2 linked regions of the Mus musculus genome follow. The protein of the gene in region 2 interacts with the protein of the main gene of each other region in a pairwise test. Links are inferred from orthologs where the notes say so. Each region holds a gene or a part of one and is shown on either strand. Other genes may lie near its edges.

What was found.
Region 1: the proteins of Tfg (region 2) and Mapk1ip1l interact in binary tests that used the Homo sapiens proteins (3 or more experiments, as listed by UniProt). The two-hybrid records come from large-scale screens. The link is inferred for Mus musculus from reciprocal best matches to the Homo sapiens genes TFG and MAPK1IP1L.

The regions. Positions count from the first base shown.
Region 1 is NC_000080.6:47,296,782-47,301,210, reverse strand, and holds the start of Mapk1ip1l (MAPK-interacting and spindle-stabilizing protein-like), read right to left. Parts: upstream 2,823-4,429; 5' UTR 2,806-2,822; intron 2,436-2,805; exon of another isoform or gene 2,279-2,435; intron 1-2,278. Other genes in the region: uncharacterized protein Gm35078, read right to left, coding at 2,823-3,228.
Region 2 is NC_000082.6:56,714,550-56,719,139, forward strand, and holds the start of Tfg (protein TFG), read right to left. Parts: upstream 2,902-4,590; 5' UTR 2,636-2,901; intron 1-2,635. UniProt on the Homo sapiens protein: Plays a role in the normal dynamic function of the endoplasmic reticulum (ER) and its associated microtubules. Required for secretory cargo traffic from the endoplasmic reticulum to the Golgi apparatus.

The sequences.
Region 1 (4,429 bases), on a different chromosome or scaffold from region 2:
GCAGTGCGTTAGAGGGAAAGGCCACCAAACTTTGACTGGAGACCAAATAATATAAGACCCCATATTTAAACACGAACATTAAACCTTCTGGACAAAAGCAAGGCTCTTAACAATCTTGTAAAAGCCGTGCCTCCTCGATACCCCACCACCAGCTGAAGTTCAAGAATCTAAAGACACAGGCAGTGAGACCATATGGATAAATAAATTCAGAGAAATCAAGGAAAATCAGGACTTCTATGATTTTTGTATGGGTGAGTGTGACAGTGTTAATTCTGAGATTTACCAGAGAAAAACCAATTCCACCATTTTGGGCCAAATTTGAAGGAAGCTTTATTAGATATTAAATACTGACCAAGAGATGGACTTTGGCCAGGACCACTAACTGGCACCTCCAGCTGGGTGGCCTGGAAACACATGTTGGAGGGGCTTTTCTGGACAAAACTCACTGGCCCCCATACTTTCCCACAAGATTTTATTGTTTTCCAAGAACTACAACTCTTAGCATTCTGGAAGTTACCTGGTTCTTGGAAGGGTGAGGCTTACAGGTTAATTTTGGGCATTACATTAGTATATATTATATTGAAAGCAGATTCTGGATCAGTACTGGGTAATTTATCAGATTATATTCCATTTTATAACTGGGTAAGTAAAAAAGCTTGGAATGTTTTGAACATCATAGTAGGAGCTCTTATAATGTATTCCTATTAATTGGAACCCAAGCTTTAGAGTAATTAGTGGCATGGCATAGACATTCCTGAGAAGTGGTATCTCTGCAGTCTGGAATAAAAGCTAGAGTATTAGGTTAAAGACAGGCTCCGGGGTAAGAACAGTTTGTATAAAACCAGAGGAAGACCAGTCTGGGGGAAAGCAGATGCAGTTCAAATTGGCTGGAATACCAGAAAGCAGTAAGACGTTTTAGCAGAGGGTTTTGGACAAGAGTGCTAAATAGCTTTACAGCTTACTTGACTGAGTCAACCTCAGTTTCTTCATGAAGTTAGAATGGGCTGTCATGCTATACAGGAACTAAACAGGACTTCATCTGACCCAGTGACTAAAACTGGAAAATAGCAACAAATGTCCAATTCTCTCTTCCTGCCATTCTTAACATTTTAAAAACTATACACGGGGTTGTTCACTTCCATGGAGGTTCCCCAGAAGGCTAGAAGTGCTTAATGTCCTGGAGTTATACGTGGCTGTGAATGCTGGGACAGAACTCCAGTCCCCTGCGAGAATAGTGCATGTGTTCAACCTGAGCCATCTCTCTCCACACTGCAGCCCCATCTTCTCCTTCTCACTTAAACACAGAACAAAAAAGCCACCAGAGTAGACTGCCTGCCTGGCCTATGGTCAAATCCAGTTCTCTGAGTCCCATACATGGCAGTAAATGGGTATTTTCCAGAGATTTGCTGAGGCTTATTATACTAATCTGTAAATAAATCTCTTAAGTCACTGCCTGGCACTGAGCAAAAAACTCAACAAATGTTAGCTTTTACAACCGATACAATATGGCCACAAACCTTTGTCTATTTTCAAAGCAGAGAGCAACTAAAAAAAAAAAAGCAATTTCCTAAGTACTGCACAAACTTATTTGGTGGCAAAAGCTGACCCGACATTATTTATCCATTTCATTTTCCACCCACTCCCCGCTATAGTCTGAATAGTTACAACTGCTGAATTTTTTTCTTTCCTTCCCTAAAGTTTTGGGACTTGAATTTAGGACCTTGTAGCAAGCCGGGCTAGCACTTATCTACAGGCTCACCCTGTGCAAATATTACTAATTAACAGTCCCCGAGTCTAGGGCTCCTCTATAGTTAACAGTCACAGAATCTCAAGATTGCTGAATTCCTAAGGTTCCTGAGCCCAACGCTCAACCTCTGTAGGGAGAATGAAGATGACACCGATTCCTTCTGTAATCAAAAAGAACATTCCAACCTCGGCAGCTGCAGGAAAAAGTTTTTGAAGGGAAGTGTTCTAGAGAGTGGCTCCAATACTCCACGACTAAAAACTGCCCTCCTCCCCACCCAAGGAGCGCCACTAACAAAGACTTCCGAGGGCGACTCCAGCTTCTGAGGGTTTGGCCTCCAAACAGGCCTTTCGCACATGGGGGAGGGGGCAACACGTGTGTGTTTCTGTAGTAGGCTGTTACACATCTACGGTGGGGTCTGGTTTAGATACTTCAACTTTAGGATTCGTGAAAACATTACTTTCAGTTTTCATGGCAGGGAGGAAAAAAAATGGTTCAAGCGTTCTAGCTAGCTCAAAGGAGAACGTCACTCACTCAGCCCATGGCACCTTCTGTCCCCCGTAGTCATTTAAAGAATGGGTAATTACGATCAGCGAGAAGCTTGTCACACAGAATTATCAGGCGCCAGACCTTGCTGTAAGGATTCGGGTCTCCTCCACTGTCGTTTTTATTAGAAATTAGTGGCTGGGATACCGGTGGAGGGGCAAGGGGACGGGGGGGGGGTGTGGGGGACAAACAAGCTGCCCTTTAGGGTTAAGGGAACAAAGGGAATCCGGGATCAACCGGAGCGAACCAGCCCCCAGCCGGTCACGCAGGCGGATGTGGGGGAGGGTCGCCCGCTCCCGCCTAACCCCTCACCCCCCGCCCGCCCCCGCCCAAGCCTGGCATGACGTGGGCGCCCCGGAACCCGACGGGCGCGACATTAGATCCCTCGGTCGCCTGGTTCCCGGGGGACCCTCCCCATCGAAAGCTCTAGAGCCGCCAGGCCCCCCGGGACCCCGCGTCTTCGCATCGTCTCCCGCCAGCCTCGCGCCCCGCCGCAGGCGCCCAAGCGGACTCACCCGGCAGGATCCGAGTCCTAGGCGCGGCACAGTGGCGGCGGTGAGTCCAGAGAGACGGGCAATGGAGACCCGCTGAAGGCCTGATGGACCGAGACGACAGCGACACGGCTCCTCCTGGCACCGGAAAAGGAAGCGGGGAGGCCGACCTGGCCGCCCGTTATTTCCGCCCGCCCCGCCCAGCTTGCACTGCGCCTCCAGCCGGCCGCCCACGAAACTGCAGGCAGGGCCGCGTGGCTCCGGGAGCCTGGGCTGTTTCCCTCTGGGTGGAGCGCGGGAAGGTTTCCCTGCTTCCTGAGTCCAAAAGACCCAAAGGAAACCCCCTGGCCGGTGATGCTCACCGCAACCCAGGGACTGAAAGCGGAGTTTGGATTCTCTGTGTTTAGAGGTTTTTGTAGACAGGCTCCAAGCTGGCTGTCAGTAGTCCTGTTAAAATCGAGGGTAAAGAGATGAGGGAAAAGGGAAGTCTTTCTAAAGGTCTTGCGAATGAAAACTTTTAAAAGCATATGTCTGCAGAGACTGAGTTGTATAAGTTGGAATTTCAGTACTGTGGAAAGATTGGAATGTTGCAGGTCCAGGGGCTAATTACCTTATCTTGGGCTAGTGCTAGCCCTCCAGAATAGCCACCTCTGTGTCAAAACTAATATCTTGTGGCAATAAGATTAAAAACCTTTTAGGTCTATTAACAGGCAACTAGCCTCTGCCAATCCAAAAGCTAAGAATGTCATCGGATAATGTCTTAGATGTATAGAAAAGCTTCCTCTATCTTGATGTACCCTCCAATGTATCCATCCACCAGTGTGTTTTAAACTTTGCCTTGATTTATAGCGTTCTCTGTTCTGTAAAACTAAAAACCTCGTGATACTGGTTCCATGTTGGGACATGGAATTTGAGGTAACCTAAATTTGTGTTTTGGTGCCATCATCATTCAAAAATGGGTCCAGAATAAGCTATCTCTGATTCCCTTTAAGTTTTAAATTAAGAATAGTGGCCTCAACCTGTGGTTTATGAACCCTTTGGGCGTCGACTCTTTCATAGGGGTCGAATATCAGATATTTACATTATTTATAACAGTAGCAAAAATACAGTTATGAAGTAGCCATGAACTAATTTTCTGGTTGGGGGTTACCACAACATGAGGAATGGTATTAAAGAGTCACAGTATTAGGAAGGTTGATAAGCCACTGCTGTAAGATGAGAGGTGTTGGGTTTTTGAGACTGGCCTCTGTTTCTGGGAGACTCAAAACTGACATACCAGAAAGCAAAATCTAAATCTACATACAGATTTTCAGCCGGTCGTGGTGGCGCACACCTTTAATCCCAGCACTTGAGAGGCAGAGGCAGACAGATTTCTGAGTTTGAGGCCAGCTTGGTCTACAAAGTGAGTTCCAGGACAGCCAGGGATACACAGAGAAACCCTGTCTCGAAAACAAACAAAACAAAAAAATTTTTTTCATTTTTTTTTTTCCTTCCCAGACTTCTGATGTATGTCAGGTCCCAAAGAAACCCTAGACAAGTAAGTGGCCTCCCCAGCACTTCTCACCCCACCCGCTACAGTAAACCTATCTAACCTCTAACCTCTATGACTTCATTTCCACTGAGTGTTCTCCTAATCTGGTTTCTCTTG
Region 2 (4,590 bases):
GCTATTTGATACTGGCTTGCTACAGAATTTTCCCCTCATGGGTTTTTCTTATTATTATCTCATTTCAGGTTATTCAATATGATTGTCCTATGAATTTATAATCCTAATTCTGAACCTTAAGACTTTTAGTAATTCAAATTACTACTATAAAAGTGCATATTTAGGATCAAGTAATGGGTTAATATTTGTTTTTCTGCAAGGCCAAGTAATTCCTTAACATGCTTATCTATAGACACAGAATGTTCCTACTCTTTTTACCTGTTCCAAGTAAATGACCAAGAGCACCATTTAAGCTGTCCTGAACCTCCCACAGGCTACTCTGCTTTCATTCCTGAACTTTCACTATTGCCAGCTTTCTGTCTCCTTCCCTAAAACTTACTGAACCTCCATTTTCACCCCCGCCCCTTTAATGTGGAAAATCCCTCACCAAATCACCAAACTATTCATCTTGAATTGTTTTTCATGAGTCCTAGCTTATATCATGAATATTAAATATAAACCTCCCAGTAGTCCTCACATAAACGCTCTATCTAGTCTTTGCGTCTAACTATCCCTCAAATGAAAACAGCCCTTCACTACAAGGTCAAAGCAGAAGAACAAAGTGGAACAATGTTCCACAATCTGGATGCCACAGTTATCTTAATGTAAAGAGCACTGTTGGGTTTTGTTTGATCAGTCTCACAGGTGACTTCTAATGGCTGTGATGACGTGACACCTCTATAGAACCAACTCTTACATTGTTGGCCCAATTTGTTCTCCACCTTTAGAAAACATTTACATAACATCTACTCTACCCCAGGCTCTAAAACATATTAAGTTTAGAAAGATAGTAACTATCTCATACTTTCATTGATAGTCTGACAGGAATGAAGATCTTACAATAAATCTGCATTTACTGCCTTCTATCTATAGGCCATATAAGTCAGCAATATAGACTAAGGACCGGTGCTTAGAAAGCTGAACACTCTCAGTTCCTGAACCATAGAACCATCTCACAGTACCTTCTTTACCTGGCCAGAAGGGGCACCTCATATCAAGATACACTCCCAAGTAAGACCAAGTTCCAGCACAAATGTACTTGGTAATTAATATGCCCTCTGATGGAACTGGGAAGCACTCAGCTCCAGTGGACCTAAAAGCTAACATTACATATCCTTAACATCTACCATGGGTGGCCCAGTTTCATTTCTAGTTTCCTCCCTGCAGTCTTAGCTAAAAGTTGTCCATTTGTGTAGCAATGTCAGGCACCACCGTTATTTCCTGTCCCAAGAGAAAACCTCGTCCACACAGCTGTCAACTCTGGTCCTGCCTTTCTCTAAGCAGGTAGAGATTAACATGAATGAGTTCCTAGAACTACTGTTAAGATCACTATGCATTTTCTGATGCATCTCGTTGCTGTCTTACTACTTCCTAAGTCCAGAAGTGACTCAACCTGGAACTTAACCTTCATCCAAGAAATTCCTGGTAACTGGGATACACTGATGTGTCCAAGGACATAGCCCCTGCACTAGGATACCTCAGCCTCAGGCACCTGTTGCTTAACCTGAGAAGAGGCCCTCTTTCAGAAGCTTCTAAAACGCCCACCCTCTAAACAAGTTTCTTTTTCCCTTCTTTCTTTTCTTGTCCCCGCCTCCCCAAGACAGGATTTCTCTGGGTAGCCTTGGCTGTTCTGTAGACCAGGCTGGCCCCGAACTCAGAAATCCACCTGCCTCTGACTCCTGAGTGCACCACCACCAACTGGCTCCTTTTTCTTCTCTATTTTTTCTTTCTCTCTTTTCTTTTCTTTCTTTAAAGAACCTTGATTATTCTAAAACTGTAAGTGGGTCTCAAAATCTGTATGACACGCAGTGTATATGGCAAGAATGTAACCATTTTCACTGGTAGCTATGTGAGCTCAAGTTCTTCTCTGCGGCGTACTTTCTGCACATGCGAAGGGAGCCTAACAAGCTACTTTGGTAGAATCTTTGAGATTACCTATCTACAATTCTCCCTACCGTGCCCAGAGACGGCAACTTAACAAAAGTTGGCAACTGTAATCAGTAAAACTGGGTAGGGCCCCAAGAGGACACTAAGCACGGGAGTGTACGACCGAATGGGGCTCCTTTCTGTGTCCTCAATCTACCGATTAACTCCAGGTCTACGCTCCAACGTCCAAGCCACTCCCGGGGATCAGGCACAAACGCTTTGGGCTTTCTCAAGCCCCCTTTCTATGTCTTCCATGATTCACCCTCCACCTTCCAAGTTGCTCTAGAGGGTGAAGCACCGAGCAAACGCCCCAGGCTTCTTCGATCCCTGGTTCTCGACCTCCGTAAGAGGTACCCCCAGGCTCCCCTCTACTCTCTGGGGCCGGAGGGAACAGGACTTGGGGTATCAGCGGGGCCAAACGCCCTCCAGGTCAGGCCGGGCCGGGCGCCCTCTCCTCCCCCTCCCTCCCTCCCTCCCAGCCGCCCCTCCCCCATGCCGGGCCGCTCGTCCGCCTCACCCGGGCCCTGCGCCCTCCCTCCCAGCCCCTTCCCACGGTCCCCAGCCCCACCCTCCCACCCGGCGCTGGGAGGTTCCAGAAGCCCTGCGGCCCTCCCGGTTCCCCCGACCTCCTCCTTGAGTCGCCACGCGCGCCTCACTCCGGCGGACATACCCCGCTTGCCGAGGCCGTCCACCTCAGCTGACCCGGCCGCTGCGGGCTCACTCGGTGTCGCAGAGGAGGCTTCCAAACCCCGTCCGCTCCGCCGCCGTCCGCCGAGCCTCGCCGAGCTGCAGGCTGCGCAGAGCTGGCCAATCGCACGCACCCGACGAGCCTAGCGACAGCCACGGTCCCGTACGTGGCAGGTGGGAAGCGCAGGGGCGGGAGCGAAGGGGAGAAAAAAAAAAACTGCCCTGGCGCCCCGCCTCCAGGCGCACAAGCCAGTCAGGACGCATGCGCAGTGGGTGAGGGGCGGGGCGGGCGAAGACCCCGCTGCGTCGGGTGAGCGGCCCGGCTTCCTCACTGGATGACCGAGTGTAGGAAGTGCGAGCCGAGGCGGACACGCATGCGCAGGGAATTACCAGCACTTCCGGTTTTCCGGGCAGCCAGTCTTTCCTAAGTCTGGCTGCTGGGTGGGCGGGGCGTAGTCTGCAGGGCTGGGTTTGCTACGAGAGCCTGGGGGAAGTGGGGCATCTGTCCAGAAAGGTTTGGGTCTTGTTGCTTTGTGGCTGTCGTGACTACGCGCTAGTCTGTCACATCTCGGAAAAAACGAACCCCTTTTCCGCCTTCTTTCTACACGTTCATTCATTCATTCATTCAGGATTGAGTGCCTACGCTTTGCCGAAAGAGTGCTAGGATGAGTCAGTTCCCCAGCTAAGCTCTACCCAAACATTTAGGAAGATCCGAGTTTAGAGGGCACACCCACCGGTGCAAAAGACAAACTTGGATAGTAAAAACCGAGGCTTCAAGAAGGCTTTTATAGGATAGAGATTTGACCATACCCTACACTCGCCTAAATTCAGTTTTCTTTTTGCTTTGGATGTGTTTAAATGGATGGAACTTGAGAATTATCATCCTGAGTGAGGTGACTCAGTCACAAAGGAGCAAACACGGCTTGGACTCACCCTTGAAAAGACTGCTTACACATTGGTCCCTGACTAGTGTCTGAGCAACTAGAATTCAACAATGCTTCCACTGTTCTTTATTAAGAGCCATCCCTTGTGTCTAAAGTGTTTGAATAAATGTATTTTACGCTGAACACATTTCAATCTGCTTGCAATCTGGGTGCCAGGAATCTTAGTACACAGCAACCAGTGGGTCCCGTAATCTCCTTTAACAAGAAGAAGAAGAAAAATAAATAAATAAAGCAAAGTGGAGTGGTATAATCTAACACTACAATCTAAGTCTTACAAGTAACTTCTGGCAGACTATTCACATGGTTTAGGGACTTGTTGCTGGAAGAAATTAAGTGTGTCCAGGAAGAAAGCTTAGATGTGTGCTCTGGTCTCATACAGACTTCTTTCTTTATAATTTGTTCTTTTGCTATGTTCCTTTATGTTCTTTTCTATAATACCGTATGTCCTAGACATGGATACAGTTCCCTATAGTATCTGTGCAAAAACCATACAATGCCTATAGATGTAATTTGAGCATACTTTTTATTAAAAAAATCTACATCTAGAAACACAGAGATCTCATTACCAGAATAATCTGGAAAGAAGAGGTTGTAGATTTTGTAGCAGTGCTCAGAAAGGACTTTAGTACTGTTGCTTGTCTGCTTTCAGGACAATATATTCATTCACTACTTAACTGGGGTACTATTTTGTTAATAATTTCAGCTTACCTTCATAGTCACAAATTTTAGTGGTGGCCTGAAATTCAGAGTTTTCCTTGTCTTGCTTATTCCTTTATAATGTCTTGTGATCTTATCTCAAATCACATGACTTGTAACTGTCATCTAAACTCCCAGTCTAGAACACATCCCTTCTCTATTGCTGTCTAGTGAGTACCGGGTGGTTGGGGGTAGGGGGTTTCATCTTCATTTATTATCACCAAGGTCCAGAAAGTCTCAGTTATAATATTATGGTTTCATGGCAAACAAAGTCCAAAGTCCAACAAATTGTAAGATC